6 linked regions of the Kluyveromyces lactis genome follow. Each later gene encodes a partner of the first gene's protein in a complex. Links are inferred from orthologs where the notes say so. Each region holds a gene or a part of one and is shown in the gene's direction. Other genes may lie near its edges.

Region 1 (5,611 bases):
GTGAAAGTGCACTAAACGGAAGAAACTTGCTCATCAAGAACGCTGGCAGTTATGAAGGAAGACCAGATAAGAATGATCTAGTAGCTGCATCAAAGAACCCACCATCCAGAATTCTATTTGTTGGTAATTTGTCGTTTGATACTACCGAAGACCTACTGAGGAAGCACTTCCAACACTGTGGTGAAATTATGAGGATAAGAATGGCTACTTTCGAAGACACTGGTAAGTGTAAAGGGTTTGCATTTATCGATTTTAAGGACGAAACAGGTGCTACCAATGCGCTTAAAGATAAAAGTTGTAGAAAGATTGCAAGCAGACCTATTAGAATGGAATACGGTGAAGATAGATCAAAGAGACAAGTGAGAAGGAGACCTGAGTTAGATGCCAGGGAACCAAGGAAGCCATCATTTGACATAAAGACGACTCAACCGTCATCATCAGCAGCACCACCACCAATTAGGGAAAGACGTGCACCATCCTATTCCAATAGACAACCATCTCACAAGGATTCTAACAATCGTTTGAAAAGTAGTGTTGCATTGGCTTCTGCTCAAAGAGGATCTGCAGCCATTGTGCCATCGCAAGGTAAGAAGACAACTTTTTAATGTGCGTCAAGAAAACATGAAATATATCAAAATCTTGTATATTAGTTCGAAATAGATCATATACCCATATTTATATTCTCTCATAGGAATATATACTTATCAAAAATAAAGTATAGAAGGACGTATGGGACTGAGGTTCTCTGTTATCATCCTTCTGCTGCAAGTCGAAGGCTGCATCTTGTTTTTCTTCACCGCTCAGTCTCGAGAATCCTTCTCCACGACCGGCGAGCACGACTTTTTTTTTTTTCTTTTACGCATTCGAGAGCAGCAAACAAATATAGAACTTGAAGCAGGTCTACTAATAGAAGCCTTGCATAAGGAGAAATAGGCGAGGGTAACGTCGTCAACTTCTCTATACATCCATCAAGGGACGCTAAGGCAGGACTTATAAGGTAGTGGGTGACGATACATAAGTTGCTAGTTGCTTGAGAAAGGGTGAAGTCGATTGCTACATCATTTTTTTTACCGAAAAACCGTTACAAGCGTAAAGCAGTTGTACCAAGGAAACTATTAAATTTCAAGATCTATAACAGGATCTCACTGGCCAGTTCACCTAAAGATGTTGTTCAACACTACCACTGACGGTACTGATTATTCATCTGTTGTTTCTTCGTCAGATACACTGACAGAAAGTTCGGAGTCGTTCTCACAAAGCGTTGCTAGTTTACGAACGGATTACATCAACCCTGACTCAGGAAATTCTACGCAGCAGCCACATGGTATGAAGACCAGGACGGTTCTGGTATATCCAAACAGATCACATTCGGATTCGGATTCACCTGGCATAGTATCGCCATCTACAGTTTGGGTACCGCCGTCAACAGATGATTCAACGTCGCATACAGATGTAGACACGGCAATGGTGACGGTACTTGAGATGAGCTCAGGACCGAGCAACATAGTAATGCAAACAATTTATCCCGAGAACACCGCGACCCAAGAATACACATCTGTTGAGGGTACAGAAGCTACTGCCACTGTGCCTACACCGACTTGGTTAACGTTGACCACTGAAGTACCGTCTTCTGAAACTGTGGTTTATTACACACGAGATTTCATCTTTACTGACACTTCAACCACCTTTACTAAAGGACTACCGACACTTACAGTGATACCCACAGAGGCTACTTTCACTACACCTACAGGTCCAGTTGTGACTGACACATCTTTTTACGAAAGATGGCTATCTGGCGCATTGGATTCCAACTCAACATCGTCTGGATCAAATAAAGATACAATAATCGGTGGTGTAATAGGAAGCGTGGGAGGTCTGGCGCTAATGATACTGGTGATCTATTTATTATTTAGGAAGAGACGAAGGAGAAATCTTATCGAACACGAAAAGAGCTTCTCCCACGACATTGGGAGAAAAATGGGATACGACGATATCGGAACGTTTATTGCACAGTCTCAGCAAACCACCAAGACTACAACCAGAGTATCGACGACTGCTCATAATAATAACAAAGTTTCAAAAAGTTTGCCCTCAGTGCCTCCATATGTTGCAGATTCTGTCAGGAGGCCACAGACGACAAATCCATTCGACGACGAATATGTTGTATCGATTGCAGATCCAGAGTCTCAGACGCCTTCCACAACATCACTACATTCATCCTTTGTGTCATCTTCCACCGATGAGGGTACACATGACACTGAAATGTCAGTTACTTACGATGAAAACCCACAGAACGCTCACGGATATTTAACGGAACTAATCGAACACTGATCTTACCAAACTCTAATTACAAAGTTTTCAAATTTGTACTTAAATTTTCCCTTCTATTCAATATACTTCTTTGTGCATCTTCAGTTATATAGTTCATATTTAAGGTTTAATTCCTAGCAATTCCACACTAACGCTTTTCTAATTTGTGATCTTACAACCCGTCAAGATAGTCGGACTTCAATATCTTCCTCCACACAGTAGAACCATTCCTTATATCTTCATGCCCGTTCACGATGATTTATATTTCCTAACCATCGAACAAAAAAATTTTGATAATCAAACATTGTACAGAAGAAGGATTGATCAAAGTAATAAAATGCCTACAGTATAATACTAGAGGCACGTGTAAATTACATGGTTAGTTGCAGGCTCTGTCATCAGTTCAACCTATATAAAATTTAATGCTATCGAGGACAGTAACTAGCCTGTTCGGCTTGGGAAAGGCTTCCGGTGTAAGAAGTTTTCAAGCTTCAGCATTGCAGCTACAAAAATCTGCACAAGGTTCGCTATTCGGTGAAGTCACCGATGGAGTGAATCCGTTGAAGGATGACGATCCAAATAAACTATCTAATAAGTTGACTACTGCTACCGAACTGTCAGATGATTTGGATGCTGCTACCCAGCTGGCAGAGGCTAAAAAGAAAGTTACAGCAGCCAATGATACACAATTACAGAAATATATCGAAGAACAAGACCCCATGATCAAAAGTTTACCAGAATTTTTGTTACCAAGAGTTAAGAAGGAATTCTATGAACAACAGGTTAGGTTGAACGGTGGGTTTTACGACAAAAGCGTGCGCCCTAAAGATCGTTCTTTGAGATTAACGAATGAAGAATTAGAAGTGCTTGAACCTAGTGTCTATGTTAAATCTTACAGAGTAAAATCATCTATGAAGAAGGCCACACAGCTGCTTAGACTTTTGAACGGATTGGACGCTAAGAAAGCTTTGACTCAATGTCATTTCTCCGATAAAAAGGTTGCCCGTGATGTTGCCGAATTATTGGAGCGCGGTATTAATGATGGTGTGAAGCTTGGCTTGGATGCCAATGACCTATACATCTCCCAGATATGGACCGGCAGTGATGGATTTTGGCAAAAACGTGTCGAATGGAAGGGTAGAGGTAGACGTGGTCTCATTGAACACCCATATGTGCATATCAAATGCATATTGAAGACCAAGAGTGTAACGAAGAGAAGACTAGAGCACGAAGCCAAACTAAAAGAACAAAGGAAGAAACCGTGGGTTCAATTAGCAGATAAACCCATCAGAGGTTCTATGGGTGGTGTTTACAAATGGTAATGAGATATTAAACATTATCATATTACGTTTATTTCCAATGATAATGGGTGAAGATAATATACAGCAATTAAATCATCAATAATAAGGTCCTTAGATTGTCTTTGGGTTTCATCTCAAGTTATCCATGTCGGAATAGCCAAGTATTTCATATCATTTATATAATATATAGAACAAGAGCTTGTAAATAGTGAAAGCAACGCGAAATACTTCACCGCATCAAACTGTAAGGAAACAAATTTCGTCTATTTCTTCTTCTTAGATTCCGTTTTAGCTGGTTCAGTAGTTTTCTCCGCCTTCTGTTGGTTAGCGGCAGATTCCTTCAATTGGTCTTTCCTCCATTGATCTAATCTTTGTTCATATTCCCAGGTACTGTACCACAAACCTCCTTGCAACACTAAGACACCAGCAAAGACAATTAAAATAATGATATTGGAAGAGGCAACAACAGCAATACCTTGCGCCTCAGAGACTTCACCCCAGTTATGGTAAACCGCAGATTCAACACCGGTCTTGATATTTGTTAAGAAAACACAGATACCCAAAACGTACAAAGCCAATGAACCGTATTCAAATAATTGCAAATCTGGATTTGGCTTGTATACCCTAATCAAGGAACCAATGACTCCCACAATGGCCACCGCACCAAGCATATAAAGGGTTGGCTTGGCCGTGTAGAATAGAGTCTGGTAGTGTTTCAAAGCGTTCTCAAAATGCTCCGGCGTGGCAGCAGGATTGAATAGGATATTATAGTCATATGGTTGATTAGAAAAGAAGATCCCCATCAAAAAAGTAGTTGATCCAATGATCAATGCTGTACCTACAGCACAAAAATCCTTATAAGTTAGGCCCATATTTACTTTCAGTCAATGTGTTTAGTGAGCGATACCTACGTTCTCTTAAAAATGGAACGTATAGACCCTACGTGTGGTATTAAATGGTTAACAATTCATCTATAATTGAGCCATTGGTTTTTTCAGTACGCACTATATATTCTCTTTTTTTTTAATAATTTACATGATTTTTGCCCACCGAATTTTTTTGATTAGTATGAAAGATAAAGGAACTGAAAGGCGGAAAGGCATTATCGGAAGGCGCTATCGATAAATCATTTTAAAAATCCATTGATAAAAGCAGGACGTTTTAATCGATGTCATCTGGGCATAGATTACTTATTTTTAAAAGAATTGATGAGTTTCTTAATATTTATACATATAAGAACGGTATTTAATAGACTAATTAATAATATAGAATCAAACAGATATCAATTGATTTAAGCAGATTCAGCAGCTTCAACTGGTTCAGTTGGTCTGTAATCCTTGACAGAAGGTTCCAAAACTGGTTCTTCTTCCTTTGGTTCGATGATGGTAACAGCATCTGGCAAAGCCTTTGGACCAGAGGTGTTTCTAGATGGGTCCTTCATGATCTTAACCTTAATACCCAAAACACCTTGTCTCAACAAAACGTGTCTGGTAGCGGTTTCAATGAAGTCGTTGACTGGTTGACCGGAGTGGATCAAGAAACCGTCAGCGAACTTCATGGACTTGGCTCTAGCAGCTCTCAACTTACCGGAGATGACAACTTCACAACCCTTGGCACCAGATTCCATAACGTATCTGACAACACCGTAAGCAGCTCTTCTGATGGCCAAACCGTTCAACAATTTGAACTTCATGGATTCAGCTTGAGCAACAGCGGACAAACCACGGTCATGGACTCTTTCAGCGTATAAAGCAATGGTACCACGCTTGTACTTGAATCTCTTTTCAATCAACAAGGTCAATTCGTTGATTCTTCTACCATTTTCACCAACAACATCTTGAACCTTAGTAGCTCTGATGATAATTTCGGTCTTGGTTGGAGTAACTCTGACTTCGACACCAGAGTAACCTTCTTCAGCCAATTCTCTGGTGAAGAATTCGTTCAATTCGGCGTAGAAAACACCGTCAGCGACAAGCTTTCTCTTCTTGGAGATAATGGCA
Region 2 (4,319 bases), on another chromosome or scaffold:
TAATGTTTTGAAGATCCCTAGGAGCACATCGGTGTTCAAAGATCGTTCATGAGCTTCGTCCATTATAATACATGAATATTTCTCAAGCAACGGATCTATCATTGCCTCCCTAAGGAGTATACCGTCGGTCATAAACTTGATTTTTGTTGAATCCGAAGTCTGATCTTCGAATCTGATTGAGTATCCAACTTTAACACCAATTGGGGTATCCATTTCTTTGGAAACTCTTTCAGCAACCGATACAGCTGCTACTCTTCTTGGCTGTGTACATCCAATCATTCTACCATTTGCAGTGAAACCGTCTTCGTAGAGGAATTGTGCTAATTGTGTTGTTTTACCTGAACCCGTTTCACCAATAACCACAGTAATCTGGTTATCTCTAATATGGCGCATTAAGTCGTGTCGTACTTTATAAGCGGGTAAAGACCTTCTCACTGCTTGTATTTCTTCAAAGCTCTGCTCTTTTTCTTTTATAGCAATGGGCTGATTAGGTTGCTTAGTTTGCGCGTCAGTTGAACTATCTTGTTTTACTCCTAGAACTTTACCTAAGGCGCTACCTTTTAGCTCGGTAGCGTTCTGAGATTTAGATTTTCTATCTCTATGAATCCTCCTCATCGCTACAAGCTTGCTGCCTCTCCTTGCATTAATAGAAAAGTCGCTCTCAGGGTTTCTTATCGGATCTGCTATTCCCTTATTTGCATTTGAAGACATATCCAAAGCACCCACTATCGCAAGCTCTCCTGACTGGTCATGGAAATCAAGTAAAAACGGAGGAATAATGGTTTTACGCTCATTCAACGATAAGGAAGTTAATTGGATTTCAGGTTCATTCAAGTCAAGCTCTCTGTCGCCGCCTTCGTACGGATCTTGCTGAGCTGGTATATATTCATCATCGTGAATGACGTTATCAAAATCATCATCATTATCGTACCAATTTCTATCTTGTGCAGTAAAATCCTTGGCGTCCTTTATATCTTCCACATCACTACCTTCTGCATCGATAAGTGTGCCTTTGGTCGCTTCTTCTTTTTTTACCATGACCACTGGTTCAGTGTTTTCTGAAAACTCATTCAATTTTGCTGCAGTTTGCTTCGTAATACGTTTCAAAGTCAAAGGCTTGTTGAATTTTGGTTTCACTTGTACCTTCACAGTAGAAAGCTCATCTTCATCGTCGTCTTCCTTGTCATCCAACGGAAGTTTAACCACAAATTTTTTCCTTATGGTTCTTGCTGGAACAGCCGCTGATTCTGGCTTTGGAGACTGCTTATGTGCCTGTAATTTTTCAAAAAGTTGCTTCAAAAACTCATCTTTGCCCTTAAATTTCCCCAAAGCCTTAGCACCCCCGATGAACTTGTTTACATCCTTATGAATACGTGCAATCTGCCTTAAAGTCTCAACAAACTTCTCTGTCACTCTTGATTCCGTATTCTGTTGAATCCATTCTTGAAGTTCTGCATTCATCTAATTCTGTTGCTTGGTAAACCTACCACCTGGCGTAAAACCTGATGAGACAGAGCTGCTAATGAAGTATCACAAGGACTGTTTATGCCATTATTCTTGTCCCATCTCATAGCCTTTCAGCTCTTCCTGTTGTGAATAGGAACGACATTTGATGTTGATGTTGGGATTACCCGGCTTTCACGTGACAAAAGATACAGAATAGTCCAAATTGGCACTTCTAAAAGCTGCATAATATCGCCAATATAAGCCCTATTTTAACAGGTCAGCTCACACTCATTCATAGTACTAATCGATATTATATAGAAGCATCTTCAGGTAGGTATATCCACTAGAATAATCCTATATTTCTCGAAATAAACTGTTTTCCCATACTAATCCTGTCTGTCTCATCAGGATTTCTATCTGAAAAATTTGAAAGCATCAAACTGAAAGATTTAGAGTCTGCAGTGCGAAACATGGTGATTGATAGTTTAAATAACAAGTTTTAGACCCTTACACCAGGCTTATAATCCCCAATTACGCTGTAGAAATTACATTTGACATATTCGCTACAGTATGGTGAGACTATTTTCGACCAGCGCCCGTGCGGCCAAGGATCTTTCAAAGATAATTGATAAATCAGGTAAGTTACCTAAGATCGTTGGACCAGCTACCATTTACAATCCAAAATCATCTGCCTCCAATTACAAAGGTTATTTGAAAGCCAAGATTCCAGCAGGTCTATATTACGATCCAGCTCCATCCTCTATCCATGGTTCTACTAACTCAGAAACGATTCCAAAATCTTTCTTACCGGCCACTGATCCAAGGCACGACATTATAGATGACCTAACGCAAGGTAACGCAGAGATATCGAGGGTAGCGCCAGTGTTACATGAGAAGGGTGAGAAGACCTACCATTTGAAGCCTGAAGACATCGCTGAGATTAGAAGACTAAGACTGGAGGACCCGGTGAAAAACTCTAGAAAAGCTTTAGCAAAGAAGTTCAACTGTTCTCCGTTGTTCATCTCTATTGTTTCTGAACCACCCAAGGAAAGAAAGACAGAAATGAATCAAGTTCTTGAGACGATAAAGAGCCAATGGCATCCTAAGAGAGCATTGGCCAGAGCCGAAAGAAAAAAGAGAAAGGAACTCTGGTACAGAGCATGAGAAAAGGTAAAAGAAAACAACATACTGTATATCTGTAAATAGTAATAAGATAACCATCGACCTTATGTTTCAATCGTTAGTCATCAACTCTATTAAATGGCTTATAACATCTATATATATGCATGTAATATAATACAATGGAAGACGTGCAAAAATTAGTGTCTATCTCAATAAGTTACAGCTGGGGTCATTATCGTTAGGAAAAAATGATACATTAGTACCACTAATACCCATCGTACATCTCTTGGAAAATTTCGTACTCATCTCGGATTCTCAGGATTATATCTTCGAATAACTGCATCTGATACGCATCTTTTATTTGTAGTTCCAATGCAATCTGATGCCTATGCTGTCCCTCGCACAACATTGCTATCTGATACCATTTCTCCCTCCGCTGCAATACCGTATGCAGCTCCTTCAGATTCGATATCACCTGCGTCTCACAGAACAACCTCTCGTCGCTGTTTATATCCTCTTTATCAACTCCGTCCTCTTTATCCGAAACGAATCGAAACCTGTACAGCGACGGTTGCATCATCGTCGACTGATTGGACCCATCCAAATGCAAAAGCTCGTCTACTATAAGCTTCCCCTTCCATAGCAAATGCTGGGGTTCCCACGCTCTTGCAATGCTTCGCGGTACGATATTATACAAAACACAACTCTGTATCACTCGTTGATGCGTTGTCAGCACATTCTCCGGAACTGTCATCCGAAAACGTATCGGCTATATCACTTCTGTTCTCTTCAAAATATTACCTAGGAAATTCAACTCGTTCACCTGTTAAATCACCTACCGGGAATTACCTTCTTGACCAAAAAAAGAATGTACTAATGGACAAACTGCACTGTTTACAACTCACTTCATGCTATCGATAACAACTCATCTCATCTCATCGATAAAGAGATTGCATGTCGACGCAGCAACTGATAAAGAAATTTTTAAAGTCACGTGACAAGTATCAACAGTTTCTGAAAAAATCTGAAAATCTCAATTACAAAAGGTTTCTAATCGCAAGCAATTCTCTTGTTATTCGGTTCAACCTGCATTTAAACTCGAATTATACCGTCTATTGCCTGATTCTCTGACTAAGCGAAGCAGTTTATTATGTCTAAGTTTTATGACGATGATGACGCTGTGGATTATGACGACGATGTACCTGATTTCCAGGACGAGGATGAATTTGACGATTATTTAAACGATGAAGAATTTGAATTGATGAACCAGTTGTTTCCCCTGGCGAAGGAGCAATTAGCTGATTATCAGGGTTGGGATAACTTGGCCGTGAAAGTTGCGATTTTTGATCACAATTTCGAGTTAGAACCTGCATTGGTCGATTTAAAGAGAAGATTCAAGAAAAAGGGTATGTATAATTGGCATTGGACGTGGCGGTGTTTTATATTTTTACGTGTTTTCAGTTATGATTTCTTGTTGGTTCTTCCATGGTAAACAAAATTGGTACTAGGGGGGTCTGCCTATCTTGTATTTTATCTTCTTTGTGGACGGGAAGAGGGTTATGATATATTGTACTAACGGAGCTGGACATGTCGATTGATCATGATGGTCGTGAACGTGGTGCTTATTTGTGTTTCGGACGGGCAGCAGAAGAAAAAACAATTGACTTGATTGAACAGCGTGTATTGTATTGCATCTCTAATGAGCTATATGACTAACTAAGTATCATTTATTTGTTTGTTTGCAGAACAGA
Region 3 (4,480 bases), on another chromosome or scaffold:
CCTATTGATATTGAACCAAAACCAGACGTTGGAGGGTACCGTCAGGCAAGACATCAGCATGTAATAAGGCGTAGATTCTCGTCTGGAGAATCCCCCTTGAGATCTCCTTACTTCAACGAACGTTATAACCAGGGCCTGCCCTTGTTCAATGATATGCAAGATGAGTACATCCCAGATTTCGATTTTGCTGAGGCCGTTTCGCAGTGGCAAAGCTCAGATGATACCAATATGCTTTCACGTTTCAATACATGGGAACCAGACTATCTTGGTAAGCCACAGAAGGAATCAGTATTGAAACTAGACGATTTGCATTCCCAAGTGGCTCCTATCCCTTTACCAAATGTTAAAAATGAGCAACAGCCTCAAATTCCTATAGCAAGACCGAGCTCATCATCGTTATTTTCTGCATCGTCTCTGAGAACTCCACCTGCCCAAATTGAAATATCAGAACATGACCTAGATAGAATTATGAGATCTATTCCATCGGATTTCATCAATATGCCATTTTCCCAACGTAAGAAGATCATACAGGATTTAAGTCCCAACCATGACTATAAGACTATTATGAACATTTTGAAACGTGAGAAATTAAGCCACAGTGGCTCAACACATAACGTGAGATCCAGACATGGATCAGTTGCATCGAAATACTTGAACTCTTTTACCCCCGGTTCTAGTTCTTTCAAGAGGGACGATAAAGGGTCTTTCATTTTGGGTCATAGACTTGGCAAAATAATAGGGTTCGGCGCTTGGGGTATGATCAGGGAATGTTTCCCTTCTACAGATGAATCTCAAAACCAGAATAATACTTGTTGCAAGGCGATGAAGATTATCAAGTTCAAGGACAATCGAAGTGTAAAGAGGCAAGTACTACGTGAAATCTCAATATGGTCGAAACTTTCCCACAATAATATTCTTCCTTTAACAAAATGGAAATTAGACGATGATCTGGTGGCATATTGTTTAACAGATAAGATCGATCATGGAACCTTATACGATTTAGTTGTTTCTTGGGGCGAATGTGGTAATTCAAAGATTAGTTTAAGAGAAAGGTGTCAAGCTACATCCGCCTTAGCGTTACAATTAATTGATGCTGTACAATATATGCATTCTAAATTCATTGCACATGGAGATATAAAGTTGGAAAATTGCCTTCTAGAAAAAAAGTCTGAGAACTACAAAGATTGGAAGCTTGTATTATGCGATTTTGGCATGAGTCACTTTTATGGCCATTTCAAAGATCAGATGGAAAATGAATCAATTCAACTGAAATCCCTATTTGATGGGTCTACTCTTCACTTGAAACGAAGACCCTCAATTCCAAGATCTTCCTCTTCAACGAATAATTCTTCTTTACGGTTGAAATCAAGGTTAAGACAAATAGTGAACGATAAAAAATTAATTCATGATGATACGACTTTGGGTATTCACTCCGTACCAAAGAGCACTCGTTCTAACCTAACCAGCTCGTTGAACCAAAAAACAGACATTACATTAACACCTAACAAAGATTTGCATGAACATATCAACGATGACATGAGCAGAATTGGCTCTTTACCATACGCTGCTCCGGAGTTACTAGAACCCAACCCTCCTCCCATTGGACCAAGCGCTGATATATGGGCCATTGGTGTTTTAATTTTCACCATGCTTACCGGCAAATTACCTTTTAAACATGAATACGAGCCCAGACTTCGTGCAATAATAACTTCAGGTAAATATGATAAAACGACACTACGCCAAGTTTGTAACTGTGATATGAACTCGAACTTGGGTGTAGATGACCAGGTGGAATTCCAAGGTCTATTCAACGCAGTGAAGGGCTGCTTAACGAAAGACTTAACCCGGAGATGGGAACTTGATATGGTGAAAGTAGCTCTGGGTAAGCATTGAAACTAATCCTAAACTAACAAAATATTTTCTACTATTCTGTCCTTGTCAGTTATAACCCTTAATTTTTAATTCAACAAGCATACCAATAGCATTAATAGTAACGCATACTGTTACATTGACCTTTTTTCTGATGTTTTACCATTCTCAACAGCATAATACTTAATAATTTTACTGAAGTATATAACGATAACTAATGAAAACACCAGCTGTCTTAACAATGACGGCGTTGTAAGCACTTTATTTGTATGTAGTAAGCGTTGATAATGGCGTTGATTAGCCAATAATAAATCAATCACGTGATATACATCAATTATGGGTTAAGAAAAAATTTGATGAAACCAGACATAGAAAGCTTTAATCCTTTCTCTAACGATAGTCCAGGAAGAAAAGCTGTGCTTTCCCGATCAGTAGCAGCCTGCAGCACACGACCTAACTGAAGTTCACACTGTGACTGTTATAACATGATTTATTTGAAGTCTTTTTTGAAAGTCATTGACAACTCAGGTGCTCAAATTGCCGAATGTATCAAAGTACTTGGAAAAGGTTCGCCAAAATCTCCAGGTAGAATAGGTGACAAAATCGTCTGTGTGGTGAAGAAGGCTAAACCATTAACACAAACTATTACTGGGCAATCCAATAACAACAGAGTGAAGAAAGGTGATATTGTACACGCTGTGGTGGTACGTACCAAGCAAAGAAATATGATACGTCCTGATGGATCAACAATTGCGTTCGGTGACAATGCTTGTGTATTAATCAACAAGAATAATGGTGAACCTCTAGGGTCAAGAATTATGGGTAACGATGGTGTTGTCGGCAGAGAACTAAGGGAAAAGGGCTACAACAAGATTTGCTCTCTAGCAAGTAAAGTTTTGTAAATATGTTTCACCACTGGTAAATATCGATTACGACTGCGCAGGGCTTTTAGAATCATGTATATAGATAATAAAAAATAGAAAATATCGTTAGTAAAGTTTATGAAAATGCCATGATAAATATGATGGATACGCGACTACCAACTTATTGCTCATTGACAGTGATATCAATATTTTATAAGTGTTTCAAAGAGATGTATGTTTATCTTAAATATAGATAAAAATGATGCGAAAGAAACTAATCTAAATCTGCCAAAGTAGCAAGGCCTTCAGCTATGAAACAAATTTTGGTGTTACACCGGCCTTGGTGGATATGTAACGCAGCATTTTGTCCTCTTCATCCACGAACTTTTTAGCAATGAATCCACCGTTATCCTTTTATTCGGATCAACTTGGAAGATATGATAAAGTGCAGCAGTTCTGTACCGGTTCATACCTGGAGACACATGTTTCATTTCGTCAAATACATAATATTGTCCATGTTTTTCCATATCCTCGAGGAATGCGTCATATACTGAATCCTTGCCTTTGATAGCAATTTTCCATAAATAATGGCCTAAAACCATAACACAGTAGATAATACCACAGCTCCAGCAATCAACTAGTCTTGGATCGTATTGTTGTTTTGGAATAAACTCCTCAGGCGCAACATAAGGCTCAGATCCTGCTGGTCCGGTTTGGAAATGTGCTTTCTTTTCCCAGGCTGTTTGGAACACAGAACTTGTACCAAAATCACATATTTTTAATACACCTGTAGGGAGAAATAGCAAGTTTTCTGGTTTAATATCACAATGAGCTACACCGTGAGCATGCATGTATTGAATACCATGTAGTAGTTGTTTCATGAAGCAATCTGCTTCTAATGGATGTAAAACTGAATCAGATTTTGAGCTTCTTGTAATCAAGCTGTATAGATCACCTGAAGGGCAAAATTCCATTACTTCATAAAATGCGTTAGGTGTTTGCATTAAATCAATAACGTTTAAAATGTTAGGATGTGTTCTTGCCGAAGATCTTCTGCTTTTGTTACCACCACTCAACGATAATCCTATCACAAATTCTGAGGTTAGTCTTGTGCTAAACTTCTTTGGAGGCTCATCAGGTCTTGGCTTCAGTTCTTTTACCGCATAGAATAACTTGTTATCATGGAAATATGTATTATCTTTCAGATCAGGTTCATCTGGGTCAATAAATTTATAGCATAGTTTTACAACCCCATAGGCACCTTGTCCAATGATACCGATCGACTTCCCGTATTTCTCACATAAATGCTGCTTTCGTGGAGCAGAAGAAGGTTCATTGGAGGAAACTGCATCAGACTTAGAGCCCTTCAAACAAAATCCGTTATCGATCTTTTCGGTTAATTGGTTTATCAGTTTCAATTCGTTAGCACCAATGACGGATTTTTCGTTAACAATCTTTGGTACATTGGCTGATTTATTTGGTCCCTTATAACCATCTTCATCAGATTCGGATTCGTCATCAGATGGGTTCGAATTTCCAGAGGACTGGTTGTCATAATCCGCATCTGAATCGGAATCAACACCATTATTTCCATTATGCTCAAGTTCCTCATCCGCATTATGATTACCGTTTTCCTCGTCTATTATCTGACTGAGTCTCTTGTGGAAACTAAACCGGTTTGCTGGCAATAACGACAATGCTGTCGCCAAATTCTCTCCATCATCGGCAATGGTACGGTGAGTCTTAAA
Region 4 (4,400 bases), on another chromosome or scaffold:
ACTATTCCAGCCATTTGTCTTGTGATGAGCTCTTGGAACTTCTTGGATGCAAGTCGCCTACTATCGGTCCTTCTTTTAACTTCACTTTCTGATTATCTGTACTGTTACTGACTTACTATTTAAATCTTTCAAATCAATCCGAGTAGTTTCTAGCGTAGAAAGATTGATAGAAAACCATGAGTACACAAACTTTACAAAAGGTTCAGAACAAGAAAACACAATAAGTGATCACTTTGCTATATCAACGGTATATGTACTGTCAATGGAGCTTCCAGACGAGGAAAACGTTTGGGATAGTGTTTTTGAGGAAAGGCAGTTGAGCGAAGTAGTACGGGATCAAGGACCAAATGATCTCGAACGACCAGCAGCGCATAAAGAACCAATTGCTACCGAACAACCACTGGGGAATAAGCTTGAGAATCAGAAAGATGATGATGATGACGAATATATTAGAAAAGTTCGTACAGCTGTAGAACAATTCGAAAAGGCAGGCTTCTTCGAGGATTTAGACGATACTAAAAAGGGTTCAAAAACAAAAGCCATGGTATATAAGCTAGCAGACGAGGTGATAGCCCGACATAAAGACAAACTCTTACGCATAAGAGACCCAAATTATGATAAGTGGTCTGAACCATTAAAAACCCCCATGATAGATAAATATCATGAAATCAAAGAAGAATGGAGACGTGAGGAAACGAACCACGGTTCCAGTAGTTTAAACAACAGTTCAATGACTACACAGAATGTTACATTTGCATGGAGTTCAAATGCTCATCGACCGGAGCTGACCGCACCAAAGAAGCCTTTGGAACCGCATTCCAATAAGAAATCAACAAATGAAATACTACGGAGTAAAGCAATGAAAAGCGCTCATGAATTAAGAAGTAAGCAAATTCTGCTCAATAAACTGCGGGATAAAAATGATAGAAACAATCTGCCTTCACAGGATGGTGATGATGTCAAGCCGAAATTTAAAATGGATCCCTTGGAACCATTTGTCGCCAAAGCTTTACCGAGAGAGAAGAAGAAGCGACCAAAGGAGAAAAGGAAGAGCAAATTTTGGTTTTGGGGATCCCTTACCCATCATACTGACGAAGGAAACCACAGAGACAAAGCTAGGTCGCCAGAGCTTGAAGATTATAAAATTGGTGTTGTATCACCGAATTCGCGGTCCCCCACGTTATCGATTCCTTTCTCTGATCCCGATAACACTCAGACTATTACCAATAACGCAGTATCGGACAACATTAACCATCACCTGTCGCTAATAGACCTCGACGATGACGAGGAACACTTAAAGTGTTCAACGCCACCGTTAATACTGTGATACGTACTTTTTTTAGGCCTAATATATTTATTTCTCATCCTATTTAAATATCATCTACATTAGCACTGTAACTATATACCTTTTTTTGAGCCGGCGTTATTATAACTTGTTCTCTGCGTACCGGGGTAGCCACGATTGCCTCTGGTATGTGGTTGGTGCTCATATGACCCACTTGATTGCAATTTTCTGCTTGCTCCTCTCGTAGTGCCTTGTCTTCCTTAAGAACATCTGTATACGTTGGAGGATCCTCTGGCAAGGAACTTTTCTTCTCATCAGGATATTGCTTCTGATCGTCTTGAGACATCTTTCCGTAAGTTTGAGTTTAACTGTTTACGACTCCGAATGTTGGTCCAAGGGAAATCTCAACTCTTCGAACAGCGTCGGTTCTGATTGCCATTAAAATATATTGTCGTTTCTATACATTATAAATGGTTCAAACAGGGTCCTTGATGTGCAGATTTCCCTTTAAAACCTTACAAATGGCGTAATGCTATATCATCATATATCAGATGTAAAGATGAAAAGAAGGAAAATATGATATCTAAGGTATTCCAGGCTTTGTTAGATTCAATTTTTCATTATGTGAGGTGGCATAGCAGGTAATCAAGACAAGTCGGAAGTTAATCACCTACCAGCTAGTCGAAGGGCAGCTACTCCCTGTGTACTTGAACCTTTTTAGGTCACGTGCAAAAGAGTTTAGCAGTCAAAATAATCAACAGTTCCGGGTAACAGACATTTGTTTGTTCAACATCAGTAACTTTGAAAAATTTTGAAGATTCGATGAGGTTTCAGTGAGTTTATTGTTAGCTTTGACAATAAATTGAATGACGATTAAATACGGGTTGATTTTCTGCGATAAGTTCGTGTGATAGCATACAGCTTCTCAGCCAACCGAAAGGATCATTAATACTCCATCCACTATGCTAGCGAGTGCAGCATCTCGTAAGAATGCCTTGAAGGTAGTGCAACCCTCTTTGAACTTTGTTCGTGGGAAAAGAACTAAATCGAAAGGTGGATTAAATCCTCAAGCGCAAAGAATCATTACACAACTCTCTGTTATGTCTGCTAGCAGGAAACAGCCAAAACTTTTAAAACTTTCCCGTGAAGATTTGATCAAACATGATATGATTCAAGCTTGTTGGGCGCAATATCAAAGGGAACTGAGGGAAAAGAGAACAAATCTCTTGAAACTACAGTACGAGAATATAGAAGAAGCTATGAACTTATTAGAACAGGTAGATCCCGAACTATATGAAATGGCTAACGCTGAAGAATCAGGTAAGAGGGTCCCATTGGAACTAAGGGTACCTACTCAATACCCACCGAACAATGTGTGGTATTATGATTACAAGAAAAAGGATTGAATAGTTCGTTTCCAGGCATAATGCATTAAAGGTAGAGCACGAATCATATTTCACATTATCTCTTCTAGGACACTTTTTTATCGGTACACCAAACGTGGGTTGCTCGAGAAACAACTTGTGTGATCTACAGGCAAGACCAAGTGCCACGCAATAAAATATAATGGAGATGTTGCATTATATATTGTAATGAAAGAGTTAGATAGAAGAAATGTAAACAAACCATGTAAATAAGCAATTCTACGAAATGATTATCGGCAGAATGAAGCTCTTAAGCTTTTCAAAGGGGACTTTAACCGTATTCCAAAGTGACAGTGTACTTCAGAAAAAAACATGGCTTCTGTGTATACATCGGTTCGAATATGAATAATGGTCTTGTTTACAAATAGCATTATTCATTTGACTTAGATGATTTTAGCTTGAATGGGTACATGGTTAGCAAAATGGCATCACCATACATATTTTCTCCAGAATGATTTGCCTGCGGTGTTTTCAACGTTTGGAAGTAGCAGCCACGACAAAATCATTAGTTGAAACAACCCAAGAACAATAGGGAAGAGAACCCATGTACCTGTGCGATCAGAAATAAGCCCAACTACTAATGGAACTACAGCACCACCGGAAGAACCCATTGAAGTCATGATCAATAACGACTGTGATAATATTTTCCTTGGTAGAATCTTGGGATGCGACACTAGAGCAATCATTAAGGGATAGATTGGGCCTATAAACAATCCAGATATTGTTGTACAAACCGCAGAAACATAGAAGTTTGGTATTAACCACGCCAAAAGCAACAATACTGAAATGTTTAACGTTAGTAGGAAAATGGAACGACGACCACCTAATTTCTTGTATAATAATGTGGTCAAGCAGAATCTCCCTAGAGTTAATCCACCCCAATAACCAGATGCTATATAACCTGTGCTGTTTGCATTACCATGACGTTCCTCTAAAAGGAAGGTAACCATCCAGCCACCAAGTGAAACTTCCCCACCTTGATAAAAGAACACGAAAGCGCACAGTAACCAAGTTCTATAATCTCTGATAGATTCCAAGAATTCCGAAGTTTTCTTGTAACTGCCACCTTTCTGATTTTGAAGCTGTAATTGTTCCATTTCCATCCTATGCAAGTCAGCTTTCTCATATTCAGCCAAGTCCTTAGAAGTATTCTTGTAAGACCAAAAGATGTTGAAGAAATTGAAGATAGATAACCCTAGTAAGATAAAGTAGTATTGATTCCATTTATATCCCACGTTAAGCATAGACTGAGCAAGCAAGGGTGCAATCAGGGCACCAACGCCATAAAATCCATGCATTAAAGCCAAACATGTACTAGCGTTCGTGAAACTGGCCAAAAATACGTTGAATTGAGTTAATCCAAGAGCTAAACCCATACCGTTGAAGTAAAATGCAACACAAATTACTGGAAACACGGTACCCGAAGAGATCAAAGCATACGCCACGATTTGGAAAGCCACTCCAAGCGAATTTAAGAAAGTTTTTGGAACAACTTTAACTATTAATGGCGTGGATAAAGCGATGACAACGTATCCAACAGCACAACTCATCCAGATCATAGATACAATAGAGTAAGATATGTCATAAAATTCCTCCATTTTGGGAAGCAATGCACCTGGGGCAGCATCTGACATTCCTGAAGTAAAAGTCCAAATACAACAAGCAATAATTCTAAATTTATTCATTGGAGG
Region 5 (4,633 bases), on another chromosome or scaffold:
CGCTTTTCGGATGGTAATCACCGATCTTAATCAATGTATGTGAGAAATGCAGTCTCTTTAACTTATGAGAAAGAATATGCGCAAAATCTTGCGCATTTCCTGTCTCAGAACCATACAATATGACAATCTTCTTGTTCTGCATGGTTTCAGTAGTCCGAAATACTTCTTAGCAGCTTTAAATGTGTCTTGAATCGTTTACAGTATATAATCTTTGATGTTCATCACATGTAATATGTAAGCTATCTCAGTATTTTTCACCTTGAAATCTTGCTGTTAAGAGAGATATGCGATAATAACGATGAACAGACGATGAATTAATGACAGTGTCGTTGTATTTCTTCTTAGATAGTGTTCAAAAAGAACTGTATGGTTACTAATTACCCACAGATCTTATTGATCACTAACCGTTACATATTGAAATGAATTTTTTTTATACTATTAACATGAAATCGCATCACTAGTAAATACGACGAATTTATATATAATATTTTGTATCTTGGTTATCTCAGTTCAACGCCGTATAGTTTCACCAGGGTATCACGAACTTTATCCTGCAGCTCATTGACTTCCTCGTTGGTGACGTTTCTGTCCATTGATTGATAGTTAATACGGTAACATAATGACTTTCTACCGGTTTTGGGGTGTGTGAATGAATCAATTAATTTGACACATTCAACCAAATCTCCTGCTACGTTTCTAACGATTTCCATTAGATCATTCTCATGGATAATGTCAAAGTTCTTATCTGTTGGAAGCCAGAAGGCCACGTCCCTGATGGTACCTGGATATTTAGAGTACGGTTTGAATTTGTTGATTGTGCCCTCTTTGAATTGGGAATGGAACCTTTCGTCAAGGGTCCAGAATAATCTGATATCAGGGATCTCGAATAATAGCATTGCAATGCGGTCAAGGCCTAATCCAAAAGCCCAACCGATGTTTTGATTTTGTTCATATCCAGCTTTTAATAAAACGTCTTCACGGATAAGACCGCAACCGCAGAGCTCAAGCCAATTGTTTTGCCAGAACACTTCAATTTCCCATGATGGTGCAGTCCATGGGAAATAAGCTTGAATCCATCTAACCTTCAACTCTTCTCCCTTCACGTTACCCATACTTGCCAACTTTCTCTTGAAGACTTCCAATACAACAAGCTCCAAAGATCTTTTCAAATGGCGAGAACATAAATCGACTTCTTCCATCGTCATGTATTCCTGCTTTGGATTACCTTCCAAGGAAACGTTATCTTCCACGACAAGTTTCACTGGGTCGTCTGCCAAAGTTTTCTCCAATCTCTCGAGATCTTCTTTAATCTTTAATAAATGTTGGTTATCCGGTTCCCTTTTCCAAACTCTACCACCTTCCATTTGATGGAACACCGGATAATGAGTCCTGTCAATCTCATCTCTTCTATAGACATCGGCAGAGATTAAAAATCCAGGCTTATCAGTCTTACCCACATGGCCAGGAACAAACCCATTGATATTCTTGAAACATTCCAACTCATGGGCAGATGTATGCGTTCTTAACAGATGACAATCGTTCAAGTAATAGGTATCAGATTTCGATCTACCGGGGTGATCTTCTGGGAATCCCAAAGAATCAAAATTCTCATGTACCGTAACCGCAGGTTTGAAATCGTTATAGATCTCGAATGAGTGATGAGGGTCGTTCAGCTTGTCCTCGATAACACTTCTTAAGATCCCAACAGGGTGTGATGGTTTCAAATAAACAGCGCGATCAGTCAAATTCAAAATCGAACTAGTTACATTCGTCTTATCTGATACTGGGTACGTCTTTCCATTCACAGAAAGTGTCTGTAATGCCACATTGGAGGTGCTAAACAACCTTAAACATGGTCTCAAAGTTGACAATATCGTCCTATTCGACATCGTTTCGGTATTAAAGAACCCTTAATAACAGTAAAACTGGGGCAATTCAATCAACAAAACAAAGGTAATCCCTTAGCAATGATATTACTAGTGATATTTCACTGCCTGAAATCACCAGAACAGGTATATCAAGTGTTGTTTAACGAGACTTTTGTATCTTCTTTTGAATGTATGTAGAAGGTCACATGATTTCAAGATATCTTCAACTTCACCAAAAATTTTTCAATAATGAAAAGCTTTAAGAGTAAGTAAAAGAAGATCCAGAGCATAGAAATTGATTTGAAAAGCAGCATAAAACAGTCCCTCGCGCCTCATTGCAAGGATCTTATTTCAGATCAGTGAGCCTCCTTTATCGTAAATTAGATCACCATGTTTTCCAGCGTTTTCAAGACTGGATTTCGCTCACTAAATCCATTAGAAAGTCTGCAAGTAACCGCTAGGCGTTTTACACATGAATATGCTCCACGTTTCAAGAACCAGACTAAGAAGCAAAAGGGTCGTGTGCCAGTGCGTACCGGTGGCTCTACTAAGGGTAATTCGCTTCAATTTGGTCAATTTGGTTTAAGATTGAAGTCTGAAGGTGTGAGACTTACTGCGTTACAGTTGAAGGAAGCCGATAATGCTATTATGAGATACGTTAGACCTTTGAATAACGGTCAATTATGGCGTCGTTTGTGTACAAACATTGCTGTTTGTATCAAGGGTAATGAGACCAGAATGGGTAAAGGTAAGGGTGGATTTGACCATTGGATGGTCAGAGTACCCACCGGTAAAGTGATCTTTGAGATGGCAGGTGACAATCTACACGAGAAAGTAGCACGTGAGGCGTTTAGAAAGGCAGCAACCAAGCTTCCTGGCCTATACGAATTCATATCGAAAGATTCTCTGGTAAGAGTAGGTATCAAGAGTGTAAAAGATCCAAAGGACGATCCAAAGATCAATTACTTTGAAGAACTAAAGAAGAAACCTACAAAGGAATATATTACAAAGTTGAAGTCCCAGCAACCGGAATATAGAATGTTCAGGGCTCGTTGAAATAGATCGATGTGTGTATATAAACGACTCTTTTACGTATAACTTTTGTGAGAGCTAATCCCACTATCTGTAAATAGGCTATCAAAGATTCAAGATTTAAAGTCCCAAATGAGTAAAGTTTGGTTGTTTGTCAAACTACAAAAGTTAATACTTACGTATATTTATCTATTTCACACATTGTCCTTGCAATGAACCCTTCTAAATGGTAGATTGCTTTGTTTCCAAGGTTGAGACGGTGATCAAAAGTGCATGCAGTATCGATAATTGCCAACTTCAACGGATCTGACTGGGCATCTGAAAGCAATTGCGTCGTTAATTCATGGACTATGGTTTTGGCAGGAATACAATGGGCTAATAGATCATAATTTATGGAACGGCATTCTACAAGGTTATTAACAGTTCTTTCTTTTAATATTTTCCTAGCCATTTTATGGATCACCAATTGCCAATCAGGTCTGTTCAAAGGTGTATCGTTTCTTAAATGCAATTCATTTTGTAGTGAGGTAGATTCTAGTGCTAAGAGTGACATTCTCAAGTTCCCCTTTGACAGATTCGCTATCCTCTCTAGACAATTGCCCTCGGCAGTTATTTTTTCTTTGGAACAACAATCCTGCAGGATAGACACAGTTTCTTGCAAACTTGGTGATGGTACTCTAACTAGCAAGCAACGAGACTTGATAGGAGCAATGATACTGGACATTGAATCACATAGCATTATAAGCCTGATGTTACCAGAGTATTTTTCCATAGTTCTTCTTAATGCTGCCTGGGCATCTCTAGTCAACGAGTCTGCCTCGTTGATGATAACGCACTTGTAACGATGTGCCAAACCATCCTTGGAGTCCTGGAAATCTACTTGTTCCATTTGAGCGACTTCCTTAATCAATTCTTGTATCACAACACGATCGTTGTTACCAATATCGCTCGGAGTAATCTCTAAATGGTAGGGACTACTGACTACATTCAACTCCAGCTTACGGTTGGATGGTGTGACGAACTGTCTAACGTCGATCTTCAGCTTGTAAACCCCAGAACCAAATATTTCTTGCAACAGTGCCATACATCTAGTCTTCTTACCAGCACCATTGGGTCCATAGAACAACAGATGTGGAAGATCTTGAGGTTGTCTCGTTAATGAGTACAATTGATTTGTTAATTCTTCATTGTAACTTAATGACTGTAGAGTCTTTGGTCTATACTTATCAACCCACAAAGACATTCTCGTATAGGAATTTTAAATCTTGTTAGTCGATGTAGCTCAATGTAACTCGCTGGAATGGCTCGTTCGCCTGCTATGCGTTTTGATTAATTGTCTCTCAAGTACTTTTCGTGATGCGTTTTATTAACAATTTCGCCAAACGTTTCTTCACGTTGACATTTTGAAATTCAAATGATTTCAAGTAGACGTAACTTCAATAGCCTTAAAACAACAACATCAAGTTAGATAGTATACCAGCAGTAGGTACCATTTTTATCTGTACACTTACTAGTTGTTATCGATTAGCAGTGCCACTTGATTATCTTCCTAGTTATTTGGTGTCTTACAAGTCAGAATCAAGAAATTAACAATGGCTTTAGGTCAGAATCAACAGAACAACATGAAGGGTTTGCAATTGTTCATTGCAGACCTTCGAGCAAACCAGAAGACTAAAGAGCATGCTAGGAGAATACAAACTGAACTACAGAATATACGGACTCAGTTTACCCAG
Region 6 (4,965 bases), on another chromosome or scaffold:
TACTGTTTCGTTGGTTGTCCGTGGATGTTCAACTCTGTTATGTTAATTTAAGGTATTTATTGTTTAAAACTTCAAAATCTTGAAATATTCATATCAATTTAAAGGAATATTGACACATCAAAATCCTATGATCGTCTTTACACAGGTGTCATAGACCACTTGTCTGAACGTAAAGCTTTAAAATGAGGGGAAAGGCTTTGAAATCCAAACTCGAAGAATTGGTGGATGGGATTCAGCAAAGAATTGATTTCGTAACTGCAACTGGAGTGTCGAGTTTTGAGCAAGAGACTGAACAAAATTATGGTAAACTAGAATATTTACAGAGTAAAATCAAGAAAGATGACGGCATTAGTGATTGGGTCGATGAGAAACAACGGCTTTCTGGCAGATTGAATAAACTAGAAAAGCAAGTGCAAGAATTGGAAGAATTGGCAGATGAATGGGAAAACTATTTACAATTACTTGCCGATACAAAACTTCGAAAAGACAACGTCTAAAACCTCTTCCAAGTCAACGTTATCACCAGTTATCTTCCCAATTCCATCGGAAGCTATTCTAAGTGATTCGCAAGCTATTAATATATCGTCATTCTTGTGCTGGAAGAACTGATCTAGGCCGAATAGAATATCAGTGCTTAAAATTTCTTTGACTCTATTGGACACGGTGACTGGATCTTCATTCTCAGTTGCCGAGATTCTTCTGAAACTTAATGTCAAGGTCTTAACTAATGGTTCCAATCCAATTTTGGTTAAGCAAGAGACTGTATGAATTTTCAGGGCTTTAAATTCTGCATCGAACTTTTCAATTAAGTATTTTAACTGGGTTTCAGTAGCTAAATCCGATTTATTCAACACGACAATTAAAGGTTTATCAGATAAGTTATCCTTGATAAATTCTTCAAAATGTTTACTTATATTTGGGTTAGATACATCAATGACCAATACCACTAAGTCACTTTGTAAACTTTTCTTTTTGGATCTGTCAATACCTTTGATCTCAATAGAATCTGAAGTTCCCTGTCTGATCCCTGCCGTGTCAGTCAAGATACATTTAAAACCGTTAATGTCCATCATTACATCGATAGAGTCTCTTGTGGTGCCCGGTATATCACTGACAATCGCAACGTCGTCTTGAGATATTTCGTTAACTAATGATGACTTCCCGGAATTTGGTTCACCCAACAATGTTAACTTTATCCCATCGTTCAAGACAGCCATTCTATCTAATTTCACCATGAATCGAGTCACTTTTTTGTATAGTTGTAAAAGTTTATCATTGGCACCATTCACTATAGAATCGATATCTTCCGTTTCGATATCTTCACCAAAATCAATAATTGCAGTTAGTTTAGCGATCTGCTCTATAATCTCTTGTCGCCATTCATGGAAAATGTCTACGGTCTGATTGCCATGCAATGCAGACAATCGCTGTAATTCTGTATCTGAATGAATCATATTGTTGATACTTTCAAGCTTCAACAAATCCATTTTCCCATTCTGGAAAGCTCGTCGACTGAATTCTCCCGGCATCGCCATACGAATATCTCTTTCAGAGTCCCGCAAACCCTGGATTGAGTTTAACGCTGCCTTTATAATAGCTTTCCCCCCATGTAGATGCAATTCCACTAAATCTTCACCTGTAAAGGTCCGTGGTTGTGGGAAGTACAAGACTAACGCTTCATCTATCAGAGTTGATGCCTTGGGATCATATAATGACCGAATCATCGGTTTCCTCTGCCGTAGCGGTTTTTTTGGCGACAATTTTTTTAAGATATACTTTGAATGTGTACCCGATATCCTAATTATAGCTATTGCAGAGTGCTGATTTGATGGCGTTGATAATGCATACACTGTAGGATGGAAAAATGTCGCTGGAACACTATAAAACCGTCGCAACATTGGGCTGAACATCACTTTTTGCGAAAAATTGAACCAAATGAGAGTGGGATCCTTGTAGACTACCATTACGATTCCAACTGCAATTTATGGTAGTTTAGAATAGTCTGTAAATATGTTTAGCTACCGATTCATCGACAATCCATAGCATAAGTGCGCCGTATCAGAAAGAATCTGGAATAATGAGATGTCTGTGAAAACATATTATTATCACGTGACTACTCGGAAAACATCAACAGTCTACTATATCCGGGTAATTGCAGATCTCAGTATCGAAATATTGAAAAAAAATTTTAGTGAAAGAGTTACAGAGAGAGGATGGAAAGAAGTTGAGTGATGCAGTGAGCTATTGGTGAGGTTTGCCATTGATATATACAGCAATCAACATCACCATCGAGGGGGGTTAAAGAAGGATGTCTGTTTTGAAGCTATTGAACCCTGTGCGAGTGCGAGGATTTGCTTCTTGTGCCAGGTTGTACCAATCAGAACTGTCATCATTGAAAGAATATAAGAATACCATCAGTACACTGTTAAAGAACCCTGCACATGAACTAACAAGCCCCAATTTAGTTGCACTCCATTCCAGATTAAGATTGCCTCAAGGCTTATCCTATTCTCTTTTGTCCAGATGTTTGACGTGTCGTTCTAGTGGGGAAGTGAACTATGACAATGTCAGTTTGAACATTTTTGGTAAGAGTCTTTTAACTTTGGCAGTTACATCCGAGCTAATGAAAAAATATCCTAGGCTACCGGGTGTGGTTTTGAATGCTGCTGTGGATGCATATATTAACGACCATGTTTTGAGCAATGTCGGTCGTTCCTGGGGTATAGAACCGGAAACTCAAAGTGTAGTGGATAGATATGCAAAGAAAGAAAATGTTACCATTACATTGGGTAAACTACGTTATTTCCAAAATTCCGTAGATGAATTGCATAACTTCACTGAGAACAATGCTATGGCAGTTGCCGTAAGGAGTATATTCGCCGCTGTATACAGTGTCGACAAAGATTTCAACCAGACACATAAGTTTATCGCAGATCATATTTTGTCCAGAAAGCTGGACGTTAAAGATTTGTTCGCGTTCGAACAACCAACCAGAGAACTGGCAGCTTTGTGCCGTCGCCAAGGATTGGAAAGACCGGTATCGAAACTACTTGCAGAAAACGGTAGATTGTCTAAATCACCCTTGTTCATCGTTGGCGTTTTCAGTGGTGAAGAGAAATTAGGCGAGGGTTACGGTTCATCTTTGAAAGAAGCTAAAGCCAGAGCCGCTACAGACGCTTTGTTGAAATGGTACTGTTACGAACCAGTGCATGGCCAACAGAATGTCGTTATTGACCAAGGCGAAGTGTTAGTATAGACAGGCCGCATCAGCAATGTATGTTTTCCACATAATCCTTTTCAGTTGAGATCAACTTTTAAAGATTTCTTTCCCTGTAAATATAATATACAAATACATAATAGTAATTCATACACTGTTGTACTCGAACGAAATAAAAAAGGAGGTTGTACGAAACTTAGTTGTGTCTTGAGGCCTTGCCTTATTTATAGCTAGATCCTGTTCTGCATTATTTGATCAAGATATGGATTTGAAGGAGGAAGTTCTGCTGCAAGTTAATTCGACGATCATTGAAAGTAAAGGAGGTCCGTTACTATTTATCCTTGTATTGGAAAATGAAATAGCATCACAGTGTTTTCTGTGTGATGGAGTTGGAAACGTTGATACGAAGCTCAGCCTTTTCAGCTGGAAATCCTCTGATCCAATTGGAATCCTAATGGTTGACCCGGACATTTACGATTACGATGACATGTTACAGTCGTTGAATTCGAAACAATACATTATTAAATCCAAGTTCCATTACTTCCCTGAAACTAGCAATTTGATACAATGGCATGAGAGTGTACGATATCCTTATAAGCTAATCAACTGTGGAGTAGAAATTCAGGATGATCATTCCGATTTAAAACTATTAAAACGTGATTTAAAAGATCATTTGGATAGGATGATTCAATATCTTGAAGATAATGATAGACCAAGCGATGAAATCTTGAAAGAAATTTGGTTATTAAAGCTAAGATACAGTAGAACATCGGCTCCAGACTTAGATTCAGAAATCTCTAGGCTGGAATCTGATATAATGATGATGCAAACGATGTTCAATCAAATGGAAACCAATGCAGAATTATTCTAATGCTACTGGCTCAATTATTCTCATTATTCATTTACTAAATTAATGCAAAACTATATTAATAACTTACGGATGCGTTTATCTATGGGCACACCAGTCGCGAAACATGTATTTTCTGTGCTTACCCATTTCTTGGCACACTCTAAATTAGCGACATATCCAGATGAAATCATGGCAGGTTCTGTTATTTCTTCGCCGCATAGGGGACATACGTCAGTCGTATCATTGTTATCCACCTCTGATGCTACGCCAGGTAGTACTGGAGGTTTTGGTCTCTTTACTCGTATCTCTTTCTTGAATAATTCAGGCCGCTGATTGATAATTTGTAAAATTCTGATCATCACTAGGAAGCTCGGGAATAACTTGTCCAAGAACATGGTCGATGTGCTCTCCACTGCATCCTTGGTCATAGCTAATATTCTGGGTAAATTAGTTCTTTTACGACGACGTTCAGAAAGAGTTAAAGTATTTTTCCTACTTGCAATTCCTTCTTCGGGTTCTTGGTATCGTTGGTATCTTATTTGTGTTATGAAATGGATCATATCAGTGTCTTTTGAATGACGCAAGTACTTTAATTTGAAACAGAAATTTATCACTTTGATAGTCTTCTGTAGCTTAGGATAATAGGCATCAAACCATTGTTGCCATGAGCTCAATTCTGGGCTCGTCAATTTTCTGGACTGCAAGAGCTCATGGTATTGTTCACAGATATCACTAACGTATTCGAATAAACAGTCATTCAACCAAATTCCTAGAAAGGTTAATTTAGGGAATCTAGAAAACCTTTTCAATCCATAGAACTTGTCAAGAATTGTGGCACCTGTTGTTTTATAATGTCTGTATTCAACCAAAGATTTAATCACCAAGATTATGAAGTCAA

The links. Proteins that work in one complex are often made in the same cells at the same time.
Region 2: MRPL22 (region 1) and MRPL20 share a complex: the UniProt entries of both Saccharomyces cerevisiae proteins name them as parts of the mitochondrial large ribosomal subunit. The link is inferred for Kluyveromyces lactis from reciprocal best matches to the Saccharomyces cerevisiae genes MRPL22 and MRPL20.
Region 3: MRPL22 (region 1) and MRPL38 share a complex: the UniProt entries of both Saccharomyces cerevisiae proteins name them as parts of the mitochondrial large ribosomal subunit. The link is inferred for Kluyveromyces lactis from reciprocal best matches to the Saccharomyces cerevisiae genes MRPL22 and MRPL38.
Region 4: MRPL22 (region 1) and MRPL28 share a complex: the UniProt entries of both Saccharomyces cerevisiae proteins name them as parts of the mitochondrial large ribosomal subunit. The link is inferred for Kluyveromyces lactis from reciprocal best matches to the Saccharomyces cerevisiae genes MRPL22 and MRPL28.
Region 5: MRPL22 (region 1) and MRPL16 share a complex: the UniProt entries of both Saccharomyces cerevisiae proteins name them as parts of the mitochondrial large ribosomal subunit. The link is inferred for Kluyveromyces lactis from reciprocal best matches to the Saccharomyces cerevisiae genes MRPL22 and MRPL16.
Region 6: MRPL22 (region 1) and MRPL3 share a complex: the UniProt entries of both Saccharomyces cerevisiae proteins name them as parts of the mitochondrial large ribosomal subunit. The link is inferred for Kluyveromyces lactis from reciprocal best matches to the Saccharomyces cerevisiae genes MRPL22 and MRPL3.

The regions. Positions count from the first base shown.
Region 1 is NC_006040.1:700,723-706,333, forward strand, and holds MRPL22 (mitochondrial 54S ribosomal protein uL22m), read left to right. Parts: upstream 1-2,732; coding exon 2,733-3,632; downstream 3,633-5,611. Other genes in the region: NOP13 (Nop13p), read left to right, coding at 1-605; TDA7 (Tda7p), read left to right, coding at 1,165-2,331; SHR3 (Shr3p), read right to left, coding at 3,875-4,483; RPS3 (40S ribosomal protein uS3), read right to left, coding at 4,903-5,611. UniProt on the Saccharomyces cerevisiae protein: Component of the mitochondrial ribosome (mitoribosome), a dedicated translation machinery responsible for the synthesis of mitochondrial genome-encoded proteins, including at least some of the essential transmembrane subunits of the mitochondrial respiratory chain.
Region 2 is NC_006037.1:690,590-694,908, forward strand, and holds MRPL20 (mitochondrial 54S ribosomal protein mL58), read left to right. Parts: upstream 1-2,016; coding exon 2,017-2,610; downstream 2,611-4,319. Other genes in the region: DEAH-box RNA helicase PRP16, read right to left, coding at 1-1,461; KLLA0_A07777g (uncharacterized protein), read right to left, coding at 2,834-3,322; ribosome dissociation factor GTPase HBS1, read left to right, coding at 3,719-3,974, 4,290-4,319. UniProt on the Saccharomyces cerevisiae protein: Component of the mitochondrial ribosome (mitoribosome), a dedicated translation machinery responsible for the synthesis of mitochondrial genome-encoded proteins, including at least some of the essential transmembrane subunits of the mitochondrial respiratory chain.
Region 3 is NC_006037.1:612,625-617,104, forward strand, and holds MRPL38 (mitochondrial 54S ribosomal protein uL14m), read left to right. Parts: upstream 1-2,354; coding exon 2,355-2,771; downstream 2,772-4,480. Other genes in the region: protein kinase NNK1, read left to right, coding at 1-1,893; putative serine/threonine protein kinase KKQ8, read right to left, coding at 3,062-4,480. UniProt on the Saccharomyces cerevisiae protein: Component of the mitochondrial ribosome (mitoribosome), a dedicated translation machinery responsible for the synthesis of mitochondrial genome-encoded proteins, including at least some of the essential transmembrane subunits of the mitochondrial respiratory chain.
Region 4 is NC_006039.1:1,298,950-1,303,349, forward strand, and holds MRPL28 (mitochondrial 54S ribosomal protein mL40), read left to right. Parts: upstream 1-2,247; coding exon 2,248-2,691; downstream 2,692-4,400. Other genes in the region: CGI121 (Cgi121p), read right to left, coding at 1-14; LFT1 (Lft1p), read left to right, coding at 263-1,327; KLLA0_C14916g (uncharacterized protein), read right to left, coding at 1,371-1,631; KLLA0_C14949g (MFS transporter), read right to left, coding at 3,138-4,400. UniProt on the Saccharomyces cerevisiae protein: Component of the mitochondrial ribosome (mitoribosome), a dedicated translation machinery responsible for the synthesis of mitochondrial genome-encoded proteins, including at least some of the essential transmembrane subunits of the mitochondrial respiratory chain.
Region 5 is NC_006038.1:1,063,733-1,068,365, forward strand, and holds MRPL16 (mitochondrial 54S ribosomal protein uL16m), read left to right. Parts: upstream 1-2,258; coding exon 2,259-2,924; downstream 2,925-4,633. Other genes in the region: TAH18 (NAPDH-dependent diflavin reductase), read right to left, coding at 1-142; MSF1 (phenylalanine--tRNA ligase), read right to left, coding at 501-1,889; RFC5 (replication factor C subunit 5), read right to left, coding at 3,076-4,143; APL3 (Apl3p), read left to right, coding at 4,493-4,633. UniProt on the Saccharomyces cerevisiae protein: Component of the mitochondrial ribosome (mitoribosome), a dedicated translation machinery responsible for the synthesis of mitochondrial genome-encoded proteins, including at least some of the essential transmembrane subunits of the mitochondrial respiratory chain.
Region 6 is NC_006041.1:685,733-690,697, reverse strand, and holds MRPL3 (mitochondrial 54S ribosomal protein mL44), read left to right. Parts: upstream 1-2,308; coding exon 2,309-3,256; downstream 3,257-4,965. Other genes in the region: KLLA0_E07679g (uncharacterized protein), read left to right, coding at 183-497; MSS1 (Mss1p), read right to left, coding at 459-1,964; KLLA0_E07613g (uncharacterized protein), read left to right, coding at 3,480-4,088; PEX12 (ubiquitin-protein ligase peroxin 12), read right to left, coding at 4,139-4,965. UniProt on the Saccharomyces cerevisiae protein: Component of the mitochondrial ribosome (mitoribosome), a dedicated translation machinery responsible for the synthesis of mitochondrial genome-encoded proteins, including at least some of the essential transmembrane subunits of the mitochondrial respiratory chain.